Cricetulus griseus: one gene and its partners. The protein of the gene in region 1 binds, or shares a complex with, the protein of each later gene. Links are inferred from orthologs where the notes say so. Each region holds a gene or a part of one and is shown on either strand. Other genes may lie near its edges.

The links.
Region 2: Nme5 (region 1) and Dydc1 share a complex: the UniProt entries of both Homo sapiens proteins name them as parts of the axonemal radial spoke complex. The link is inferred for Cricetulus griseus from reciprocal best matches to the Homo sapiens genes NME5 and DYDC1.
Region 3: Nme5 (region 1) and Ropn1l share a complex: the UniProt entries of both Homo sapiens proteins name them as parts of the axonemal radial spoke complex. The link is inferred for Cricetulus griseus from reciprocal best matches to the Homo sapiens genes NME5 and ROPN1L.
Region 4: the proteins of Nme5 (region 1) and Dnajb13 are in contact, whole or in part, in a cryo-EM structure (PDB 8WZB), measured with the Mus musculus proteins. The link is inferred for Cricetulus griseus from reciprocal best matches to the Homo sapiens genes NME5 and DNAJB13. Residues at the interface, in NP_542368.2 of Mus musculus: Glu52, His53, Asn56, Met193, Lys199, Pro200, Lys201, Leu202, Cys203, His204, Phe205; in NP_705755.2 of Mus musculus: Thr156, Lys157, Lys158, Thr181, Ile182, Asp183, Arg185, Trp188, Arg189, Gly191, Thr192, Arg193, Ile194, Thr195, Phe196, Glu197, Pro281.
Region 5: the proteins of Nme5 (region 1) and Dydc2 are in contact, whole or in part, in a cryo-EM structure (PDB 8X2U), measured with the Mus musculus proteins. The link is inferred for Cricetulus griseus from reciprocal best matches to the Homo sapiens genes NME5 and DYDC2. Residues at the interface, in NP_542368.2 of Mus musculus: Arg140, Ala145, Val146, Ile147, Ile151, Pro152, Ala156, Ala157, Tyr160, Ile161, Tyr164, Val165, Thr168, Leu169, Leu173, Leu176, Cys177, Lys180, Pro181, Asp183, Pro184, Tyr185, Leu186, Leu188, Ala189, Asp190, Leu192, Met193, Asn196, Pro197; in NP_001347537.1 of Mus musculus: Asp2, Tyr5, Leu6, Cys9, Phe10, Gly13, Leu14, Leu18, Val21, Ala22, Arg23, Val24, Arg25, Pro26, Asp28, Pro29, Ile30, Glu31, Leu33, Ala34, His35, Leu37, Tyr38, Tyr40, Arg41.
Region 6: Nme5 (region 1) and Lrrc23 share a complex: the UniProt entries of both Homo sapiens proteins name them as parts of the axonemal radial spoke complex. The link is inferred for Cricetulus griseus from reciprocal best matches to the Homo sapiens genes NME5 and LRRC23.

The regions. Positions count from the first base shown.
Region 1 is NC_048595.1:202,906,802-202,911,045, reverse strand, and holds the start of Nme5 (nucleoside diphosphate kinase homolog 5), read right to left. Parts: upstream 2,801-4,244; coding exon 2,672-2,800; intron 1-2,671. UniProt on the Homo sapiens protein: Functions as part of axonemal radial spoke complexes that play an important part in the motility of sperm and cilia. Does not seem to have nucleoside diphosphate kinase (NDPK) activity.
Region 2 is NW_023276807.1:179,038,073-179,041,572, forward strand, and holds part of Dydc1 (DPY30 domain-containing protein 1), read right to left. Parts: intron 2,327-3,500; coding exon 2,309-2,326; intron 1,015-2,308; coding exon 969-1,014; intron 354-968; coding exon 249-353; intron 1-248. UniProt on the Homo sapiens protein: Functions as part of axonemal radial spoke complexes that play an important part in the motility of sperm and cilia. Plays a crucial role during acrosome biogenesis.
Region 3 is NC_048595.1:361,604,635-361,608,642, reverse strand, and holds the start of Ropn1l (ropporin-1-like protein), read left to right. Parts: upstream 1-1,208; 5' UTR 1,209-1,949; coding exon 1,950-2,080; intron 2,081-4,008. UniProt on the Homo sapiens protein: Functions as part of axonemal radial spoke complexes that play an important part in the motility of sperm and cilia. Important for male fertility.
Region 4 is NC_048596.1:99,008,789-99,012,288, forward strand, and holds part of Dnajb13 (dnaJ homolog subfamily B member 13), read left to right. Parts: intron 1-165; coding exon 166-453; intron 454-2,968; coding exon 2,969-3,126; intron 3,127-3,500. UniProt on the Homo sapiens protein: Functions as part of axonemal radial spoke complexes that play an important part in the motility of sperm and cilia.
Region 5 is NW_023276807.1:179,057,807-179,061,947, forward strand, and holds the start of Dydc2 (DPY30 domain-containing protein 2), read left to right. Parts: upstream 1-1,341; coding exon 1,342-1,488; intron 1,489-1,819; coding exon 1,820-1,942; intron 1,943-4,141.
Region 6 is NC_048601.1:21,631,610-21,634,730, forward strand, and holds part of Lrrc23 (leucine-rich repeat-containing protein 23), read left to right. Parts: intron 1-195; coding exon 196-326; intron 327-2,626; coding exon 2,627-2,763; intron 2,764-3,121. UniProt on the Homo sapiens protein: Essential for sperm motility and male fertility. Plays an important role in the proper assembly of the third radial spoke (RS3) head and the bridge structure between RS2 and RS3 in the sperm flagella.

The DNA of each region.
Region 1 (4,244 bases):
CCCACCCTTCTTTTGAAAAAACAAAACAAAAAACTTATAAAATTTAAAATTAAGCCCGGCATAATGGCACACTGTGTGCAATCCCAACACTAAGGAGCCAGCAGTAGCTACATAGTGAAATCTCCTCAGAAAACAAAACACAACAAGGTGATGAGCACCTTAGACCCAACTTGAATAAAGGAGAGGCAGGGTGTTCACTGTGTGCTGGAGGACATCCTGAACTAAATAGCAAGAGTCTCCTCTCTCTCTCTCTCTCTCTCTCTCTCTCTCTCTCTCTCTCTCTCTCTCTCTGTGTGTGTGTGTGTGTGTGTGTGTGTGTGTGTGTGTGTCTGTCTGTCTGTCTCTCTCTCTCTCTCTCTCTCTCTCTCTCTCTCTCTCTCTCTCAGGGTCTCATGTAGCCCAGGCTAGCCTCAAGCTCACTATGTAGCTGGGGATGACCTCTTTAAACTTGTGATCCTCTGGCCCCAATTCCCTGAATACTGAACTCCAGGTTGTATACTGTTCTGGCAATGGAAGCCATGGTTTCATAATTTCTTGGCAGGCATTCCCCCAGCTGAGCTGCATCCTCAGCCTGAGAACCTGGGTTTTTAAGTATCTTTGTTCCCCAATTGTTTGTTTAGGCACTTTTTCTTCTTGAAGAAGTTACAAACATAGTTTAATGTTTTTTTGTTAGGGGGGATTGAATCCGAAGCCTCATGCTTGTTAGGTCTGTGCTCTACCTCTAAGCCACACCCTAGCCCCACTTACAAGCTTAATTTTTAAATATTTAGATCCATTTAGAGTTATCTCAGAATAAAAATAGTCAATTTTCTTCACAACATTTATTAAAGACTTTGTGTTCATCTGAATATTTCTTGTACCAGAGTTGTCAACTCTGTCAACATTCTTCCCCACATCATCTCTGAGTGTGTTTGTGTGTGTGTGTATGTGTAGGATATGCATGTCTGTGTGTGTCTGTATATACACACATAAGTGGGGGTGCAGGTGCATATATGTGGAGCCAGATACCCACATTGGAGACTAGCCTCAGTTGCTGACCACCTTGGATCTCCCACTGAACCTGAATCACCAACTTGACAAGACTAGTGGGCTCAAGAGCTCCAGGGTCCTCCTGTCCTGCCTCCCCAGTACTGGGATTACCTACAGGTGTCCACCACCACACCTGCCTTTTACATGGTTACTGGGGATTCGAACTCAAGTCCTTGTGCTTGCTCAGCAAACACTGTGACACAAACCCCTCTCCAGTTCAGTTTTCTTTATTTTAAAATACTGGCAGAATTGATAATATGATGATAATCTGATACTATATAATTTTTGCTGTTGCTTTTTCGAGACAGGGTCTCACTATGTAGCTCTGATTGTCCTGGAACTCTGTAGAGCAGGCTAGCTTCAAATTCACAGAGATAAGCCTACCTCTGCCTCCCGAGTGCTGTGATTAAAGGCATGAACCATTACAGTTGGCTTTACATAAAAAACATTTACGATAGGGTCTCACTATGTAGCCCTGGCTGGCCAGAAACTTATTGTGTAGACCAGGCTGGCCTTGAACTCACAGACATACACCTGCTTCTGCCTCACAAGTGCTTGGAGTAAAAGCACCACACTAAGCTATATACATTTAAGAGATTAAAAAACCAGTAGTTCAAGTAAAATTTAACAAAATATTTAAAATGTTAAGTTTTATTTGATATATTTATACATTCTGTCTTCAGTTGGAGACCTTATCATACTAGAGGACAGTTTGAAACTCTGTGAAGGCCAAGATGGTAGGGAACTCCAGTCTTACCCTACCTATGGATGGTATCACAAGCTTACAGCAGCACCTCCAGGCCCTGGGTCCTCTGTACCCCTGGCTGGTTTAGGACTCCCTGTGTAATACAAGCTGACCACTCAATGTCCTCTGGAGGGCCTGGCACCATGACCATGTTTACAAACTGCAAGACAAATATTCATCTAAAACATTAAATGTTTTCTGGGCAGTGGTGGCCATACACACCTTTAATCCCAGCACTCAGGAGGCAGAAGCAGGAGCAAGTGGATCTCTGAGTCTGAGGCCAGCCTGGTCTACAGAGTGAGTTCCAGAACAGTCACAATCAGGGCTACTTAGAGAGACCCTGGTTTTTGGGTTTTGTTATTATTTCGTTTTTTTAAATAACCCTACGAACACTAGAGAACTTATCTATGCACAGGAATATTACACATAACTTAGAAGGGATAAGTAGATTCTGATTTATTGACCCAGAACTTTGCCAAAGAGACTCTGTGAGGAAGTCAGAGAGGATCACTTCATCTTGTGGGGAAAATCTTTCAAACACAGAGAAACCCCTGGGAGAAGTTAAGGGAAGGAAAAGGCAATTTGGCTTCTTTTGTGTATTATTCTGTATCTTTTGGAAGTGTGAAAAAATAAGCTATTACGTGTTACTTGTTTGTTTTGGGGACAGATCTCAGAGAGCTGTGGCTGATCTGTCAACTTTGAAGTCACTGCATAGCTGAACTCCTGATCCTCCTGCCTCCACCTCCCTGGTACGGAGAATACAGGCATGAGCCTATCTGTCCAGATTGCATACAACCTTTATATTTAGAAACGTAAATTCAATGTTACTACAGATATAAATGGGTGGGGACATTTATATAAGTATAGTGCAAACTAATAAGAGTCGCCAGAAGTTACCTGAATGATGGTGAATCCAGATCTGAGAATAATGTCGCGTATCTCATCTTCTTTGTCAACAACATCTGGCTTGATAATGGCTAGGGTTTTTTCTACATATATCTGAGGCAGGGGCATAGACACCTCCATTCTGGCGTTTCCCGGAATAGTTTACTAATTTCCTGACCGGGTATCCACTGCAATGACACGCGTCCTCGTCCCAAACAACCCGTGGTAATATTTGGTGCTGGGCTTGATTAATTTGTGAAAACAGAAACTGCCGTGTTTCCCGACAAGCAGTCCTGCAAGAATATGACTTGTTCAGAGCCCAAGTTGAGCCCTGGCCGCCTCACTGCGGCATCAGTGCCGCTCTCCAGGGGTAGGGGAAGGCCCTAGCCCGCTGCCCTAGCGAAGGGTCCCCACCCCTCGGCGACCACTTTGTACAGTCCTAGGAGTGACCGCAAGGCAGAGTCCCCAAGTCCTTAGGAAATCTCCAGGCCGAACCCTCCCAGTTCTCATCTCCGTTCAGGTGTTGTCAAAACCTGTTGCTAAGAGACCTGAAGCTGGTTTTCCAACGGTGGCTGCAAAGGGCCAATCCCAGCAGCGTATTTTCAGTCTCTATTTTAATCTAGGGTAGCAATTAGCCGTGAGGATTTTATTCTTTTTGAGTCTTAGAGTACTAGACATATTTCTAACGTTTTTCCCATAATTTTAAAAACAACTTTGTTTATTATGTGGTGATGGAGTGTGTGTGTGTGTGTGTGTGTGTGTGTGTGTGTGTGTGTGTGTGTGTGATGTGGATTTAAGAAAACAACTTCGTGTGTAGCCAAATCTTTCCGGGTCTATGGTTTCCAGGAATGAACCTCATGTGGTCGGGCTTGCATGCAAGCCTCTTTATCCACTGAGCCCTAGAGTCAGCCCTTCTCAAATTGATCTACACTTTGTAAATAAGACAAATCAGACACTTCTTTCAGCCCACTCCATTCCCTCCCAGACACTGTATGAAAGATAAATGTCAAGTTTATTTATTCTTGATATACTTTCTCTTCCTTCCTTCCTTCCTTCCTTCTTTTCTTTTCTTTTTTTCAAGACTGGGTTTCTCTGTGTAGCTTTGAAACTTGTTCTGGCACTCACTCTGTAGACTGGCCTGGAACTCACATCGATCCTTCTGCCTCCCAAGTGCTGGGATTAAAAGTGTGCGCCACCACTACCTGGCTCATTCCTTTTCCTTTTCCTTTTCTTTCTTTTTTTCTTTTTGTGGTGGTGGTGTGGTGGTGTGGTGGTGGTGGTGTGGTGGTGGTGATGGTGGTGGTGGTGGCGGTGGTGGTGGTGTTGTTCAAACTCAGGGCCCATGCTTGCTGAGTGCTCAGTCACTGAGCAACATTCCAGCATATTCCTTCTTTGTTTCATTCACCACCTGATGCTGTCCCCTTCAGTTGCAGCTCTTTAATCATTTAAAACTGTCTTTATAAGGTCAGTGGCACATATCTCTAATCCCAGCACTCCTTTGGAGATAGATTTCCAGGAAAGCCTGGCTGCCTCAAAAAAAAAAAAAAAAAAAAAAAAAAAAAAAAGAAAAAGGAAAGCAAAAATC
Region 2 (3,500 bases), on another chromosome or scaffold:
CAAAATACTCATACACATAACATAAAAGTAAAATTTTTAAAAATTGGTTAACACCTACACATTTGGTCTTCTTTGCATGAAGGAAAAGTATTCCGTGTATTATAAATATTATATATTTAATATATTTAGATAAATATATTAAGTTTAATATTCATTAAATATATTTAAAATATTATATATTGATAAAGTCATATACACCAGACTTTATCAACATGAAAACTTCTGCGACAACACATTTTGATACTCACATCAGATAACAATGGCTCTTCAAGCTCTTCCACTCTGCTCAAGTTAGGTGCTCCGTAGCGATCACTGATTTCAGCTAGGGTTTTGCCTGAGTCCATCATTGAGTCCTACAGTCATAAAAGTCAGTTTTTACTTTTGCATGTCTTCAAAATGAACCTGTTATTTTTCTGGCAATTTGATATAAAATTTCTGAATTAAGCACACAAAATCAACATTGTTAAGTAGTAGAATTCATCAATGGCTTTTAATGATACCAGAATTCTATCTAGTAAGAAGCACTAAAAATTATCTTTAAATGCATTTGGAATTTCAAAATGCACTTGTAAGTAATTCTATGTGCAATATAACAGGACATTGTATCTTCAAAATATACAAGTACATATTTCATGTTCAAATTTTATCCACTTTGAGGTTTATTTCAAAGCACCACACAGCTGTGACTTACCATTAGAATACTAATTTGGACTATCACTGTTATAGGGCTTTTGACTTTGCTTTTGTTTGTTAAAACAGGGTCTCACTATGTAGCTTTAGGTGTGCCAGGAATCACAACAACCAAGCCTCAGGCACTGTGATCCTGTGTGTGCCCTACCATATCCATCCTGGACCAGCACTTTTGACAATGTTCTTATTAAAACTTTAGCCACTGATATTTAAAACTTAGGTTTCTACTCTTAAACTGTACTCATTTCACATAACACACAGTAGCTATTCCTTCTCACCTCTTGCTGTAGGGACTCATCACCCTTAGCCCCACTTTCTGTGCTTCTCTCCTAAGAAAAAATTAAGAAAACACTGAATATTGTTTGTTTCTATTTCATGTTTAGATTTTAAGAATTTTTATTTTTATAAAGTGCTATGATCAGTTTAACAGCAAAATCCATGTCACTTTCCAAGGAGTAATCAGAGTAATCAGAATACAGGGCACACACACGCACACACACACACACACACACACACACACACACAAAAGGATCACAGTTTCATTTACTATATACTAATAAGAGATAATGGTTCATAATTAAATAAAATTCTTTCAAAAATGAGGCTGACCAGAGGTGAAGGTGTAAGACCCTCGAAAAGCTGATGCTTCCAGAATCTTAGCCCAGGACTGCGGCCACCCCAATCACAGAATGGAGGCGAAAGCTTGATGCAAATTGCATGAGGCTTTATTGTAGTTTAATGAGCTAACCCCATGTTAGCTCGGGCCTTTGACCCACCTACCATGGCGGATGGCTAGCAAAGACAGTTCGAAGCCGCTGCACAAAGATCTTTATAGGGCAGCATAAGGGGAGTGTCTAGGGGTATGCACAGGCTCAGGATTGGCGTGCCTCCAGGCTTGGAGGGTTTGCCCTGTGTTGATTGGTCAACTGGTTGTTATGGCCCATAGGCCCTCCCAGGGTGGTTGCTATGCTTTGTGTGTCATTGCTGTGCGCTTGTCCGTAAAGCACACCCAGGGTCGTAAAGCATAGTGCCACCAGCTAACTTCTGATTGGCTCCTTGTCACGAGGCAGGCATCTGACTTTCTAGTGACTAACTTCTGATTGTTTCCTTGTCACAAGGCAGGCATCTTACTTTCTAGTGACTAAGACAAGGTCATAGAGCACATGTTTGGTCATTATGGCTGCCAAAAGGGAAGCTGGTCCCTTCAAAGGGTAAATCTCAATTGCTGAAGGCATCATGATGCAGTTCAGACACAGAGCCCTGAGCTGAAACTGACCTGAGTACCTTTTTCCCTGGGGACAAGCTTTTGTGATACCAGAAGGTGCCATGAGAGCTTCAAAAGGAAAGAAGCAACCAACTGTCCTAGCCAGTTGTGATGTCCATGAACCACAAGCCCAGCATGGCACAATAACCTTAAGAGTGCAGTAGTAACACACATGCCTTACTGGTTTAACAAGAGTGGCATCCTGCTTGGTAACTGGAAACCTAGCTAACTACTCAGGTCAGGCAAGTTCACAGATCTTGAAGAAGAACTTAGAACCACTTTACTAAGCCAGCATAATCCCTAACAACACTCGAAACATTTGTCCTTCAACCCATAGACAAATGTAGTCTTCACACCACATTAAGGAAACTTCTCTTTGCAATAACAGACAGAGACCATTACAGAAAACCACATTAAATTAAATTTAAACCACATTAAAATAGCATTCAATTAAAATAAAACTGCATTCAAATTGCATTCAAATACAATTAAAATGCAGAGTTGTGGGGTCCAGTTCCAGTGTATACATCTACAAAACAAGTCATGCACCTAAGGCTCAGGGGACATGGAAGTGGGTGGAAAGATTGTAAGAACCAGAGAGTAGGGGGCTATAGCGGCAGAAGCTATATCCATAAAGTCTCCCAATATGGCTGCATACACATGAGCTGGCCAAGGACAATAATAGACATGTCAAAGTGGCCAGGGGAAAGCCCATGAGACTTCAACCCTGCATGAAAACTACAGGCACCCAAAGAATGCTAAGAGTGGGAGAAACTGTCTCCCCCAGGGAAAAGCACACTAATTGGTTGTCTGATGCCAAATGGTCAGCCCTGAAAACGTACACAAAAGTAGCATTATACAGACATGGCAGGTTTTGTTTTGGAATATATATGTGTGTGTGTGTGTGTGTGTGTGTGTGTGTGTGTGTGTGTGTAACAAAAATTAATGAAAAGGGTGCTATAAATTTGAAAGAGAGCAAGAAGAGGTATATTGGAGGGTTTAGTGGGAGGAAAGGAAATAGAGAAATGATATAATTACATTATGATCTCAAAAATAAAAAAGAAAATATATAAAACATACATTGTATGCAATTTTCTAAGACTGAATAAAAATATTAGGAATTTTAAAAATGGGCTGAATGAAATGTTATAATTGAAGCAAAAGTTCTAGCAACTATGTAAAGCAACAACATTAATGTCTTAGATTAAGAGATTTTTAAACAGAGGTTGAGTTTGGGCTTTATATACAGGAAAAAAATGAGTCCACATTCCTAAATGAATTCACCATGTCCAAGTTACTGTCCAATGCCCAAGTGTTCTCCAGAGGTCCTTAGCAACACTCATATGCTGCAGGGGAAATGTTCAGCCTGACATGAAAAGCCACTCTTCAATGAGAAGGTTCTTCTAACCAAGCCAACCTACTATGACCTCCATTTTTTCATCAGTAGGACGGTGCAAAAAAAGTCACATGACTCATACTGGGATGAGGCATTTTGGCAATTGGAAGATTACTCAGCTTGTGACTGTCCATATGGCCACACTAATAA
Region 3 (4,008 bases), about 160 Mb from region 1:
ACTTTTCCCCTTTGTCCAAGTTTCTGCTTGCCATTTATTGGTTATTTGGGACACTCTTGGAGGAGGAGCGGCTTCCTCAGGAGCCACACACTTGTCCTTTGCTTAGGAGGCCAGTTCCTTGCAGCTGTCTGTGGGTCTGCTAAAGCAGACACTCCCATATGTGGACAGTGGTTTCTTCACAAGGGTGCAGATGTTGAAAAACTGAAGACCTGGATGGTTGTTGCAGACTAAAAAGCTAATTAATACCACAGATAAGTACTAATTAGAGGCAAAACGAATTAGCCCTAACTTAAAGCCTTATGGAGGCAAACCTTTTTTTTTGAAGCTCAGTAGTGGGTTAGGCACACATTTTTTAAGATTCAGTTTATTTAAGGAGAGAAAAAGTCAAAATTTAAATCTCCGAGAGACTTCTCTAAGAATAAAAAGGACAAGCTCGGCAGTGGTGGTGCACACCTTTAATCCCAGCACTTGGGAGGCAGAGGCAGGAGGATCTTTGTGAGTTCAAGGCCAGTCTGGTCTACAGAGTGAGTTCCGGGAAAGCCAGGGCTACACAAGAGAATCCCTGTCTCAAAAAAAAACTCAAAATTTAAAAATAAAGAGCAAGCGTCTCGGCACTCGGATTGTTCTATGGTATTTCTCGCTTTACGGGGGTCATGTGGTGGCAGTGTGGGGCAGGGTCAGAATTGGTTACTTAGTGAAATTAAGTGTTGTCCAGGCTGGTCTCCCAACTCTGGTCCAAAGAACGGCAGCCTTGCTCCACTGAAACGACGCTGTGTGCCAGTCAGTCCCCGTCATCCAGCTTTAAGGAGGTCGATTTTACCTACATCATGTTGAAAGACCCCCGGAGAGGTTCTTTCGTGGAAGAAGACCCACACCCAGGAATCAGCGAAACCACGAACTTTGGATGTAAGAACAAGAGGATTTATTAATAACACGGATATCCGGGGCTTAGCTTCTGTTTTGCCAAGCCCCGAGCCCCGGAAGGAGGGTCCTTTTTATAAGGGAAAACAGGCATAGTACAGAAGCGAAAAGCATCAAATCAGCATTTTCTCAAGGTTTAATAGCCAGGCGAAATGGCCTTATCTCCTGCCTGTCCAGATGGCTGGCCTTGGGACGGAGCTATCCGGCGGGGGTTGGCCTTGCGTGGGGCGGGGAGTGAGGGCCAGCAGCTGCAGAGATCAAAAGGTCGGGGAGGGTGCTAAGGAGGGAGAGTGCTAAGGAGGGAAGGATGTATTCGCGCGCCCCGCCAGCTGCCGACCAGAGTAGAAAGGCTACAGCCCGGGTGGGGGGGGGTGTCTTTCAATGTTGCATCCTTTGAATAGAGACCATGATTTAGGTGTTAGTAAAAGTGACCCTCCTTAACTAGATAAGGGACAGTATTTACTCTTTATACCCACGTTTAAGCTTTTCCGTAGAATAAATAATTTAGATTAGCCATATTAGTAACATAGCTAAGGCATCAGAAAATTCTGTGGTCCCCAGATAGGTGAGCACTTGGGTCCACAGTGTCTGAGAACCATTTTGTCAAAGCCGCTTTGGTTTGGAAATGTGTATGCCTATGGGGGCGGCAGAGGCGCAAGGCCAAGGCCCTGTTCTCATCAGAAGACAGCTGGGGACCTCTTGGAGGTCCAGACTGGAAAACAAGCCCATATCCAGCCCTTTCCCCTGGGCCGGGTAAGTCACTGGTCACGCGATCAGGGCCCGGGTCGCCCTTAGCTCGCTGAGGCTGTTCGCGCCTGCGCAGCTCGGGTTGCCTTGGATACCGCACGCCACAATCGCGCGCACGCTCTGGAGCTGAGGGCGGTTGGGCCTCAGTTCCCCAGGAGCGGGCAAAGGAGCCGGCAAGAAGCGGAGACCCGCCGCTGCGCTGACCCCCGCTGACCCCTGTCTCCCCTCCCCGCAGCCCACCGGATCGGATCGTCGCGGGCCGCCGCGCTCTGCCCTGAGCCATGCCGCTGCCCGACACAATGTTCTGCGCGCAGCAGATTCACATCCCCCCGGAGCTGCCCGACATCCTGAAGCAGTTCACCAAGGCTGCCATCCGCACGCAGCCGGTGGACGTGCTGCAGTGGTCGGCGGGGTAAGCGCGCGCAGGCCGGGAGCCTCACCCGGTTCAGACGCCTGAGCTGTGGTTGTAGACTAAAGCTTACAGGACAACCGTGGGAAAATAAATAAATAAGTGACCCCACTGAGTTAAAAAAAAAAAAAAAGAAAGAAAAAAAAATCAGTCACAGGGACGCTTACAAATGTAGCCGCCTAGAACAATGAGCTCGCGCCTCCTCCTCCTTGGGTTCAAGGATGCAAAGGCTGTCATCCAGGAAAACTGGAGAGCTCGGCTCACAGCCTGAAAACCTTCACACATGAACATGGAAAAACATGAGCCCTCTCCCGGACCATACCATTATAATCTTAGCCACTCGTCCTTTTGGTTTTACAAGAGAGCTCTTTGCCACTTTTTTGTTGTTTTTGTTTTTTGTTTTTTGTTTTTTTTCGAGACAGGGTTTCTCTGTATAGCTTTGGAGCCTCTCCTGGCACTCGCTCTGGAGACCAGGCTGGCCTCGAACTCACAGAGATCCGCCTGCCTCTGCCTCCAAGTGCTGGGATTAAAGGTGTGTGCCACCAACGCCCGGCTCTTTGCCACTTTTTAAACCACGAGAATGAAGTATCTTTAGCCAAATGTCACTTTCTCTGAACTATATAGCTAAAGCGGCTTCGTTTCTTTTCTGTTTTAACGATTTGACTTGCTTTAAAACAACAGACATTTATCTTTACAGTTCTGGAGGTGAGATGCCCCAAATCAGTTGACACTGGCAACAGGCCATTGGGATGGCTTTGGGGAGACCAGCTGCTTATCAGTGCTGCGTTCTAATGGCCCTTCTACATCTACGGGTTCTCCCTCTCCTGAGGATCCCTGTGATACTTTTGGGAGCCATCCAGTTTGTTCAGGATAATTTCCCCATCTAAAGTCCTTAATTGTGCGAAGGCACTTGCCATGTAGAGTACCGTGTGCAGTTTCCAGGGAACAGGGTCTGGACATACTCCATCAGGGTCACCACCCTTTATCTGTTCTCTAAACTTCCCCTATGCAATATTATGGTCCCTGGCTTTAAGCATGGTGGGAGCCTTAGGAAGACTAGGGTTTTTGTTTGTTTGTTTGTTTGTTTGTTTTTTAATAAAAGTTTATGTATAGCAGTCCAAGCCTCTGCCCCCACCCTGGCCCATTTGATAACACTTGCTGACATGAAGGGCTTGCTCAAGGACTTCAGGTTCCTTTGATTGGTGGTGAAGAACAACTATAACCTTTAGCCTTTAGCCATTTAGGGCCAGAGTTCTGCATTTCTCTCATTTCTGCCCTCAGCCCTCCTCAGAGGAGCACAAGTCTTAATGTGTAGGCGGAGTTGACCCTAAGGGGTGAGGGGAGAGGGGAGAGGGTTTCTTTTGGTCTACTGTCTCCACTGTCCACATCCACCCATGTTACAGGTTTAGAATGTTTGTGGTGACATACCTGTTGCCCTGCTGCTTAATTTCATGTGCTGCCCCCCCCCCCAACACAAGTTCTTTGGTTTGGTTCACAACTGTAGCCCCAGATGCTGCCTGACACACAACTGCTGCTCTTCTGGCCAAACCTGATGTGAGTCCACTCTTGAATTGTTGCCTCGAGGAGCCATTTCTATGTTTGCCTTTAACCTAAGAATTTTCAGTGTCCTTGAAAGGAACAATTAAGGGGGAAGTACCTGGCCAGATTGGGGGAGAGGAGGGGGAATGGAAAATGGAAAGTAGGTGATCTCTGTATGCCTCGGTGTTTAGTGTCAAATACCTTAGAAAGCAGCTGTCAAAACATGAGTTGCCTTAGGTGTGGGGGCCCCAGAGAGATGAATAAACAACATTGAGTATTTGCTTGCTTTTCCAAAGGACCTGAGTTAAACTTCTAGTGCCCATGTCACACAGCTCAAATGGTGTGTAGCTCCAGCTACAGGCCATCTGGCACCCGTGGACTCCAAGGACATC
Region 4 (3,500 bases), on another chromosome or scaffold:
CCAAGACTGAACTAGGCCAAACCCAGGTGTGTGCCTGACCCTCAGTCTCCTAGGTCCTCCCAAAAGCCCATCCCAGTAGAATTTTTCTCATTGGCTTTCTGGGCTGTCTGGCCATCCTATAGAATCTATAGGATAGATGAATAACTCTGACATGCTAACTTGTAGAGACTTCTAGGCAGCAGGTTGCAAGAGCTATCCTTGCCCATCACCGTCCTGAGCTCTCTGACTGCCCCCCAGCCTCTCCAGTCACACACACCCCGGATCCCTCCTCAAGGTCACATGTGTCCACAGCTGTGAAGAGAGGCATCTACGACAAGTTTGGCGAGGAAGGCCTGAAAGGTGGGATTCCTCTGGAGTTTGGATCCCAGACTCCATGGACAACAGGCTACGTCTTCCATGGCAATCCTGATAAAGTGTTTCATGAGTTTTTTGGGGGAGACAACCCCTTCAGTGGTAAGAATCCCAGCCTACCCCTTGCTTACTGGTAAAGAACACAGCTACAGAAAATACCTTTCTTGATGGTTATGTTTGGCTGCTTTTTATTTGTTCTGTATTATTATTATTATATTATTAATTATTATTATTATTATTATTATTATTATTATTATTATTATTATTATTGAAATATGTATCCCAGGCCAGCCTTGGACTCTTTGTTTAGCCTAGAATGACCTTAAACTCCTGATCCCCTGACTCCCAAGTGCTGGAATTACAGTCATGTGCCACCACACCCAGTTTTCTTTCTTTTTTTAATTTTAGATTTGTTTATTTTATTTGCCTGTAGAAATGTGCACATGTGTGTGCTTGGTGCCCAAGGAGGTCAGAATAAGGCATCAGATCCCCTGGAACTAGAATCAGGGATGGTCGTAAGTCGTCATGTGGGTACTGGGAACTGAATCTGGCTTCTCTGCAAGAGCTCTTCGAGAGCTCTAACCACTGAGCCGTCTCTGCAGCCTCCTAGGTTTGGTCTCATTCTGTAGTGCATGTAGCTCCAAATTCATTTTGTAGTCTAGCTGGCTTTGAACTCATGGCAACCCTGGTTTAGCTACCCAAGTGCTAGAATTACAGGTGTGAGTCACCACATCCAGCCTTGTTTTATCTCTTTGAGAAATAAACACAGTACATGGAGAGAAAAAGAATTGTTCATTTCTTTATCTGAGGCTGGAACTCTCTCTTTAGCCCAGGCAGGCTTCAAATTCTCCAGCTTCCCAAGTGCTGGGATCACACATGTAAACCACAACACCGAAATTCAAATGGAACTTACTGAAAATATTCTAGCCCTCCATTTCCTTTCTTCTCCTTGATGCAGCCATTCTATGTTAGCATCCCCCATGTCCTTCCAGAAATCTCCTCTGTCTTTAAAGATATTCTACAGTGCTGAGGATTGAAATCAGGGCCTTATATAGTCAGAGCAGTGGTTCTCAACCCGTGGGTCACTTCGCCTTTGCCAAACCTCTATCTTCAAAAATATTTACATTACAATTCATAACAGTAGCAAAATTATAGTTACAAAGCAGCAATGAAAGTAATTTTATGGTTGGGGTATGCCCACAACATGAGGAACTGTATTAAAGGGTCGCAGCATTAGGAAGGTTGAGAAGACTTTATCATGGAACTACTTCCTTGATTCTTTTTAAAAAAGAACTTTCACTAATTTATTTAGAGTGTGTAAATCAGAGGACCACCCTCATGAGTCAGTTGTCCCCTTCCACCTCAGGCACTGGTGGTGACAAGTGCCTTTACTGGATGAGCCGTGACACTGGCTACCGGCCATCACATCTTAAATCCCTGCACAAATCTCCTACTGTTAATGAACACTTTACCATCTAGCTTGACACACTCATTCCATGGCCTTAACCACCTGAAGCAGGGTACATAACAGCCACCTCTGACTCCAGAGTACAAAGGGCCCTCTCACTCCACAGTCTACAAAGGGCCCACAGCTAGCAATATATCATAGTGACCAAGGCTGTGGCCAAGTGGTCATGTGGTATAGGTCCCAACTCCATTACTCAACCAGCTATGGAGCTGTGAGCATTCTGTTGGCCTCTCCAGCAATGAAGTAGTAAAGAGGAAAGTCGCTGAGTACAGAGCCTGATTCACTGCAGGCTCTCCCAGGGTTTAGCTGTTCATCTTAATGGTGTAGGCAGGACAAGCATTACCCCATACCACAGACTGAAAAACTGAATTCTAAAGGATTACAGTACTCCAAGCAGACTTGGAAGGTATCTCTCTTACAGCCACCAGGCTAAAGGCAAGGACATCAGGCAGGCTTTGGATGGAGGGCAGGCAGAGGTAGATGAGGGTGAGGAAGGGAGACTGAGGCACGCTGGTGACCACTCACAGTTGCCATCCACCTCCAAGTCCTTCATGTCATCCCAGAGATCTTGAGTCTGCTTGTCTAGAACAGTCATGGGGGAGTGGACAGAGAGGGGCCAGTAGGGCCTGGGGAAGTAGAGTGGACAGGTGGTTCTGACCCATTCTGTCTGAATGGAGTCTTCTCGGCACTATCAGGGTCTCCCACTTACAGTGATGCCTTAGCTCGTTCACGAAGCAGGAGCTGCCAGCACCTGGCTCAGTGGGAGTCCCAGGAAGCACTGGGGCCTGGCAGGCCTGATGCTCACTGGTCTGTAGCTAATAGCTAATGGTAGGCTTCTTGAAGCCAAGTGTGGTGGCTCACACCTGTTGTCCCATCATTCAGGAGATTGGAACAGGAGGATTGCCTTGAGTTCAAGGCTAAAACCAAATGAAATGAAACAAATGGTTCCTTGTTCTGTGGCTCTGAGAGGTGGGAATGATGAGCTGAACCTTGGGCACTGAAGAGGTTCAAGGGAATACAGCGTAGGATTGTGTGTGTGTCTGTCTGTCTGTCTGTCTGTCTGTCTGTCTGTCTGTCTTTTTGTCTGCCATCTGTCTGATTTGTGTCTTTGGACATCAATTCTGTTACTCATTTTCCTATCTCCTTTAGAATTTTTTGATGCAGAAGGAAATGATATAGATTTGAACTTTGGGGGGCTTCGGGGCCGAGGAGTCCAGAAACAAGACCCTCCAATTGAACGAGACCTCTATTTGTCCCTGGAGGACTTATTCTTTGGCTGTACCAAAAAGATTAAGATCTCCCGAAGGGTAAGCTTGCTCCTCTTAGCATGCACCATCTAACCCTACAAAGCTCCCTGTCACCTCCCCTTCCCCACAACTCAGCGATCCTTTCTGATGGAACTATCAAACCTTAGCCCAAGAAACTCAGTAATTTTAGATTTTAGAACTCTAGAATCTGAAATTTGAAATGAATAATGGAGGAGATTCACCCTTCTTGTACAGAAGTCACCTCTGCAGCCACCTCATGGGGACAGGATCCTCCCCTTCTCAGTCCAGCCCCACCCTTGTGGAAAGTAAAGGAGTAGGAGTGAGATGAGTCTCCCTGGAAATGAAGTCAATTCCAGGGTATTTCCAGACCACATCCCAAGGAGTGTGTGCATGGCCACAGGGTGGACATGGAG
Region 5 (4,141 bases), on another chromosome or scaffold:
TATTCATTGACAATTTCACACATCTAATCAATGCATTTTGATCATATCCAGTCCAAGTTCCTCCTCCCACATGCCTTCAATATAGTCCTTTCTTACCTTCTCTCCTCTCACTGTTTGACTAATAACCTACTGAGTCTAATTAGTGCTGCCTGTTGGAATGGTGGCTGGTTGTACTAATTTAATATTGTATAGGTAGCTATAGCTGCAGTGAATTCATGCCATGTCATATAATGAAGATAGCATTTCGCAGCACTCATTCTCACCCTCTAGCTCTTAAATGCTTTCCATCCCTCTTCTGTGATATTCCTTGAGCCTTGGGGTGGAGATTGATGCAGATGTCCCATTTAGGGTTGAACACTCAAGAGACACTATACTCAGCACTTTGGACCAGTTATGAGCTATATTAACCACTGTCCACTGCAGGGAGAGGCTTCTCTGCTGCCGCTAATTGATCCTCATGCCTCAGCCTCTTGAGGGCCAACATTAGGGACATGTGCCACCTTGACCCACTTCTTTTGATTTCTACAGAGGCTTATCTCTCAGAGTTGTCCCTGAGCCTTACAAAAGACTTAGGACTTTGACTTTTGAGTTGCTCTGGGACTGTTAAAGACTTTAGTGCCAGGCACAGTTGTACATGCCTGTAGTTCCATCACTCAGAGTATGGAGGCAAGAGGATAGCAAGTTCAAGGCCAGCTTAGGCCATACTACAGGAACCTGCCGCAAAAGACAAAACCCAAATCAACAACAAAAGACTTCAGTGACTCTTGAAGATATATCAAATATATTTTTCATGGTGAGGTAAGTACTCACCTTTGGGAGCCAGGGACAGAGTGTTGTGATTCATATCTTAAACATCCCCCCCAAAGTCATATACTGAAGGCTTTTTGGTGGGGCTATGGCAATATTGGGAAATGGCAGAGTCTGTAAGAGGTACAGCCTAGTGGAAGGAAGTTAGGTCATTGGGGTCACACCCTTGGAAAGGACTCTCTCTCTCTCTTTCTCATGTGTGGGGTAACAGTATGTGTCCCTCCCTTACTCTTTTCCTCCTTCCTTCCCTCCACTTCCTGAAGTGAGTTACTCTTACCCACCATGCCACCAGGTACCCTCTCTTACAATGTTTGCCCTCATTATAGGCCCAGAGTGATTGGGCCAAATGGCCATATAGCCAAAATAACTCTTTTCTCCTTTAGTTGATGGTCTCAAGCATTATGTCATTGTACTGGAAAACTACTATAATTGTGATTCAGAAATACTTCATATTTGTTAGAATGGATTCATTTTAAAAGATCTATAGCATTTGTAAACTAGAGCATTTGATTTGGTGTCTCCCAGGTCCCCAGCATGGAAACTGATTACCTGAAGAAATGCTTTGGAAACAGCCTGACCCAGGCATTGGCAGAGGTGGCAAGAGTGCGACCCAGTGACCCAATAGAGTACTTGGCTCTCTTGCTTTACCATTATGGGAATGTGAATAACGATAAAGAAAAGGTGTGCTTATATACTGGGCCTGACTAGGGAGGGTTTGGCTTGCTCAGAAAAGCTTGAAATCCAAGGCAGAGTCCCGAGCTTGCATGGAAAGTTTCTTGGCTCATCCACCTTGTGAAGACTGCTTAGTCTCCGCTACCTCTGATGTAGGACTCTGAGGGGGAAGAAGGGAGTCTAGCTTAGAGGGTTGTAGAGTTGGGTTTGGAGCTACTGGCTAGCTAACCCTTCTAAGAGGAAGAAGTTCAGTGGGTCTGGCAGGTCCAGGCCCATCTCAGGGGAGGGAGGGTTCCTGTTGAAGAGATGTAACCTGATTGTCTCTATCGTATTACTGCAGAAAAGGCAAGAGGAGCTACAGCTAAAGGAAGAGCATGACAGAGTCCTCAAGGAAGCAAATATGACCCAAATACTGAAACAAGAGGAAAATCAGATTCAACAGAACTGTGAGCAGTGTCAACAGGTAGGAAGGAAGAATGGAAAATTTAGCTCAACTGCTCTCAGGCAGGGCTTCCAAGAAATCCTGAAGGCACCTAGCACTGGACAAAGCACACCAAGGCTACCCTTGGTCTGCTTGTCCCTCACAGCTGAACTGGAGGCATAAGCCAGTCACATTGACATCTTGCCAATAAAATACTTGGCAATAGAAAAATGAAATGTAAAATGGCAAATTTATTTTAGATTTCAGAAAATGTTATTGATATGACTGGCTTTAAAAACTTCAGATTTTAAATACTTTTTTCTTTCAAATTCCTTGGAACCCTTTTAAACATTATTCTGTATTTTTCAGAAACCAAATATGCATAATATATGCTAATATGCATATATTTGATATAGTGTTCTACTTAGCATTTTATCCTTAAGTTATTATTATTTGTCAAACATCAGGCCTACCCTCTATGATATAATACAAACATCAGTTATCAACTCCAAGCAGTTCAAAGCAACTCTGTCTATCTTGGTTTGACAAGTAAAACTTTAGTCTCCCACAGTATTTTCTACAACTCCTAAAAATTGGGCCATTTTACATGTACCTGGTTAGAGAACTCTCTCAGCTGTAATATTGGGATTGACACAAGAAGTCTTCTTAATCATCAATATGTCCTTAATATCCTTAGTGAGGTCCAGCTTTGCTGTCCCAAAGCCAACTTTGTGCTTTAAAACACTGTGCTTGTTTTAATTTGATGCTAAGATGCTCAGCAATAATACACTCTTATAACCAATAGGCTTATTTGTAAGGCTGAATGTTTTGTCAATAAATTGAAAAGAAGACACACCAGATTAAGAAGTCTGGGTACATGGTAAGTTCAAGGCCAGCTGGACAAATAAAAATCCTAAAGAACTGAGACCATATCACTCAGTTTTGGAGATTCAGCTAGTATGTAGAAGTGCTAAATTCAATCCCTTAGACTGGAACAAGACAGAGAGAGAGAGTGAGACGGGGGGGGGGGGGGGGCGGGGGCGGGGAGTCACTACATAGCCCATACTGTGATCTTCTTGCCTCAGCCTCCCAAGTACTAGTTAGAATCACAAACTACCATACCCATCAGGAAATTAGTTTGATAGTACTTTTTAATAAGCCCATGAGGCCAATCTATGCACTCCAAGGTAGCTATGAATACGGGCAAATGTATTGCAATATATTTTTGTGTAACCCCATTGTATAGGTATGAAACTTGAACTTTGTAGTTGGCCATGTTTTGTAATATTAAAGGATGAACATTCATGAAAGGGATCTCGCCCTCCAGGGTTCATTTTTTGAACAACTGAGAAGGAAAAGATGAGGCACATTAAGCAAAGTCCTCATTACTTGTCTATTTCCCAAAACTGTTTGTGAATAGAAAGAAATATGGAAAGTAAGACACGACTCCCCATACCACTGTGTTTTATGCTGCATTACTGTAGAAAGCTTTGCTTACACTAACAGTGTGAATTAGCCCTTTGTATTCCACTCAGGTTTTTGCACTCTATGGCTAGGATTAGATAAACCAAAAGTATGCCATTCTTTTCCCAAGTGTGAGAGATCCTTGTAAGGGAAGGGGGGAAAGGGGAGCCAGTGATGCCCAAACTATGCAAGCTCTTTCTTTGGAAGGTGTTTATAGGCCAGTTATAGTCACAGACATTGATCCCCTTTGTTAGACGGAATGACAACAACCTGAGACTGAACCAAGCTGAATGGATCGCTTACCTGGCCTCCTGACTGATGTCAGTTAATGTCCAAATCAAATTGAAAAGATTAGGCAAAGAGGTGGGAAGACAGCAATAAGACAACTTGCAAGTTCTGGCTCCTGGATGACTTAGTGTGGATTTCAGATACTCGTGTGTCACTAGTAGAGGAAAACTTGGCCTGGGATACATTTGGCACTATTTCAGCTGGCCTGTGGTTTACTGGATACCTTACGCGCACTTTCTTGCAAGGTTTGTCCTTCATATCTTTTGTTTTTGCTTTTGTTTGATTAGGATTGTTTGGCTTGGGTTTGGGGGAAGTTTGTGTTTGTTTGCTTTGTTTTTGAAATTTTTAAAAAAGATTTATTTATTTTATTATTATGTATACAGTGTTCTGTCTGCATGTATGCCTGCAGGCCAAAAGAGGACACAGATCTCATTACAGATGGTTTTGAGCCACCATGTGGTTGCTGGGAATTGAACTCAGGACCTCTGG
Region 6 (3,121 bases), on another chromosome or scaffold:
ATTCATTCTCAAAGTACAGACAGACAAACCTTCCTGCCCACTTGCCTTGGGGCTCCAAAGAGACTATTCTGGGGTTGTTCCTCCCCCCCCTTCTACCCTGCATTAGAGGGAGAGAGGATGGAGGGTTGGGCAAGATTTCTAACGTTGAACATTGCCACTGGACCTTTGAGTGTCTGATACCCTCCTCTTCTGCAGGGAACCGCATCCACCAAGTGACTGGACTGGATCCCGAAAGACTGACTAGCCTGCACACCCTGGAACTTCGAGGGAACCAGATAGAAAGCACTCTGGGACTCAACCTTCCTAAGCTGAAGAATCTCTTCCTGGTAGCACACTGGGCCCTAGGGTGGTGCAGAGAAAGGGAGCACAGCCCTGGCTTCCAGCAGGCTCAGCCGCTAGCTTCACCACCATGAGGGTGATGAGTGCTTGCACGGCGTCTGATACCCTGGAAATGTTAAGACAACACAGGCTTATGCTTATATTCCCAGTACTTGGGAGGCGGAGAGTTAGAGACCAGCCTAGACTACAGAATAAGACTCTGTCTCTTAGAGTGAAAGGGAGGGAATAAGGGAGAGGGAGCAAGAAAGGTAGGCTTCCAATCTAGCAGGACTACAATTTACATTGTGTGGAAAATGCAGAGAAAATGTTTTGATACAGGCTGTTGCAAAATGAGCTATTCAGGTATGGAAAGCAGGCTAAGGAGGCCACTTAAATGTTTATTTAGTATTTATTTATTTATTTATTTATTTATTTATTTATTTATTGAGACAGAGTCTTTGGAGGTTGCTGGGGTCAAGACAGGGTTTCTCTGTGTAGTCTTAGCTGTTCTGGAACTTGCTCTATAGACCAGGCTGGCCTGGAACTCAGAGATCCACCTTCCTCAGTCTCCCGAGTGCTGGGATTAAAGGCGTGTGCCACCACCACCTGGCCAGAGACAGGGTCTTATATAGCCCTGAAATCACTATGTAGTTGAGGAGTACCTTGAACTCCTCCTGGTCTTCCTGCCTCTACCTCCTAAGTGCCAGGATTCCAGTATGGACCATTATAATCAACTATACTTTTGGTTTTGTTTTGTTTTGTTTTTGTTTTTGACACAGGGTTTCTTTGTGTAGCTCTGGCTGTCCTGGAACTTTCTCTGTAGACCAGCCTGGTCTCGAGCTCACAGAGATCCGCCTGCCTCTGCCTCCCAAGTGCTGGGATTAAAGGCATGCGCCACCAACACCCGGCTTATTACTTTACTTTTAAAGAATATTTACTTTTATGTCTATGAGTGTTTTGTCCATATTATGTATGTATATATGTATGTATGTATGCATGCATGTCTGTGTAGTGGCATGTGTGTGCCTGGTGTCACTGGAGATCAGGAGGGAGGTGAGGTCCCTGGAACTGGAGTCACAGGTGGTTGTGAGCTGCCATGTGGGTGCTGGGAACTGAACCTGGGTCTTCGGAAACAGCAGCAGGTGGTCTTAACTGCTGAGCCATTGCCTTGGCCCCAGGTTTGCTTTACTTTTGAGACAGGGTCTCCTTGTATAGTCTACACTGGTCTGAACTCCTTATGTAGCTGGGGTCACAGCTGTGCACTGTTGTGTCAGCCTCTAAGGGTCTGTCCCTTTAGGCTGGGCATGCTGCTTTCTGGACTGGTACTACAGCCACTCCTCGATGAGCTAATGGGCCTCCTGGGCCAAGGGCAGGTTCAAGCGGCCCTTCTGTAATCAGAGATGGCCTTGGCGGGATGGGCTGCAAGAGAGCACAGCTGAGCGTTTGTTGTAGTAGCAGCTTCTTTCTTCTTTTCCTTTTCCTATGTCTACCTTTTTTTCTTTCCTTCCTTTCCTTTTATTTTTTGTGTGTGTTTTTGTTTTGTTTTGTTTTGTTGGTATTGGGGATTGAAACCAGTGCCTTTGTACACACTATAGGAGTGTGCTACCACCAAACTGCCTAACTAGCCCAGAAACTAGTATACATTTCTAGTTTCCAGTAGCATATTTTTTATATTATTTTTATCATCATCCTATTTTTTGTAATTCTGGGAAATCTAGTCTTTAAATTTCTTTCTCTTTTTAAATTAAAAATTAATTTACAGTCTGAGTTCAAGACCACTCGAACTAGTCTACAAGAGCTAGTTCCAGGATAGCCTCCAAAGCACAGAGAAACCCTGCCTCAGAAAAAAAAAATCACTTTACAGTGACTTCTTTATGAGGGAGATGCAGATGGAGTCCAAGATGACTTGCAGGCGTTAGTTCTCTTCCCACTGGGTGGGTGCTGGCAAATGAATCAGGTTGTCAGGCTTGGTTGATGCAGCAATCCTACTGATTCCTTCTTTGTCTGTTTTTTGGGGGTGGTATTTGAAATAGGGTGTCACACTATAGTCCAGGCATGCCTGGAGACCCACTAAGTAGCCCAGGCTACAATCTCCCTGCCTCTGCCTCCAGAATACTAGGATTTGGGGGGTGGGCCACCATACCTAGTTTGGGACTTCTTTATCCTCTCGACCACACTCTCTTATGTACCCCTACTCTCCTTCTCCATGCCCCCCTCTCTACCTGGATTTCTTCTTTGCTTCATCACCCTTTCCCACGTCCCTCTTTGTGCTCCCCCTCTGAGTCAATGTATTGTGTGCTGGGTGCAGGCTCAGAACATGCTGAAGAAGATCGAAGGCCTGGAGAACCTCAGCAACCTGACCACCTTGCATCTCCGAGACAACCAGATCGAGACTCTGGACGGCTTCTCCAAGGAGATGAAGTCACTACAGTACCTGAACTTGAGGTGTGGGATTTGTCCTCTCCAAGGCCCACCTTGCATCTGCCCATCACCAAGAGCAGCTTCTGAGTCAGTGGTCCTCTCCCAGCAACCCACGGCTGGGTCCTTACCTTGTTCTCCGAGTCCTGCCCTCTGCTTTCCTCTCTTTCTTCGGCATTTACTTCAGAGAGCAACACAATCTTCTTGGGAGCCCTGAGTCCTTATGTTAATTTAATCCATAATGAATAAGAACATACTGTATTTAGTGAGGCCTACTCTGTGTTTTAGAAACATCTAAAAGAATCAGAAATGGTCCCTGTTTTTTCCTTCTTTTTCTCCCCCCCCCCTTTTTTTGGTTTGTACAGGGTTTCTCTGGCCTTGAACT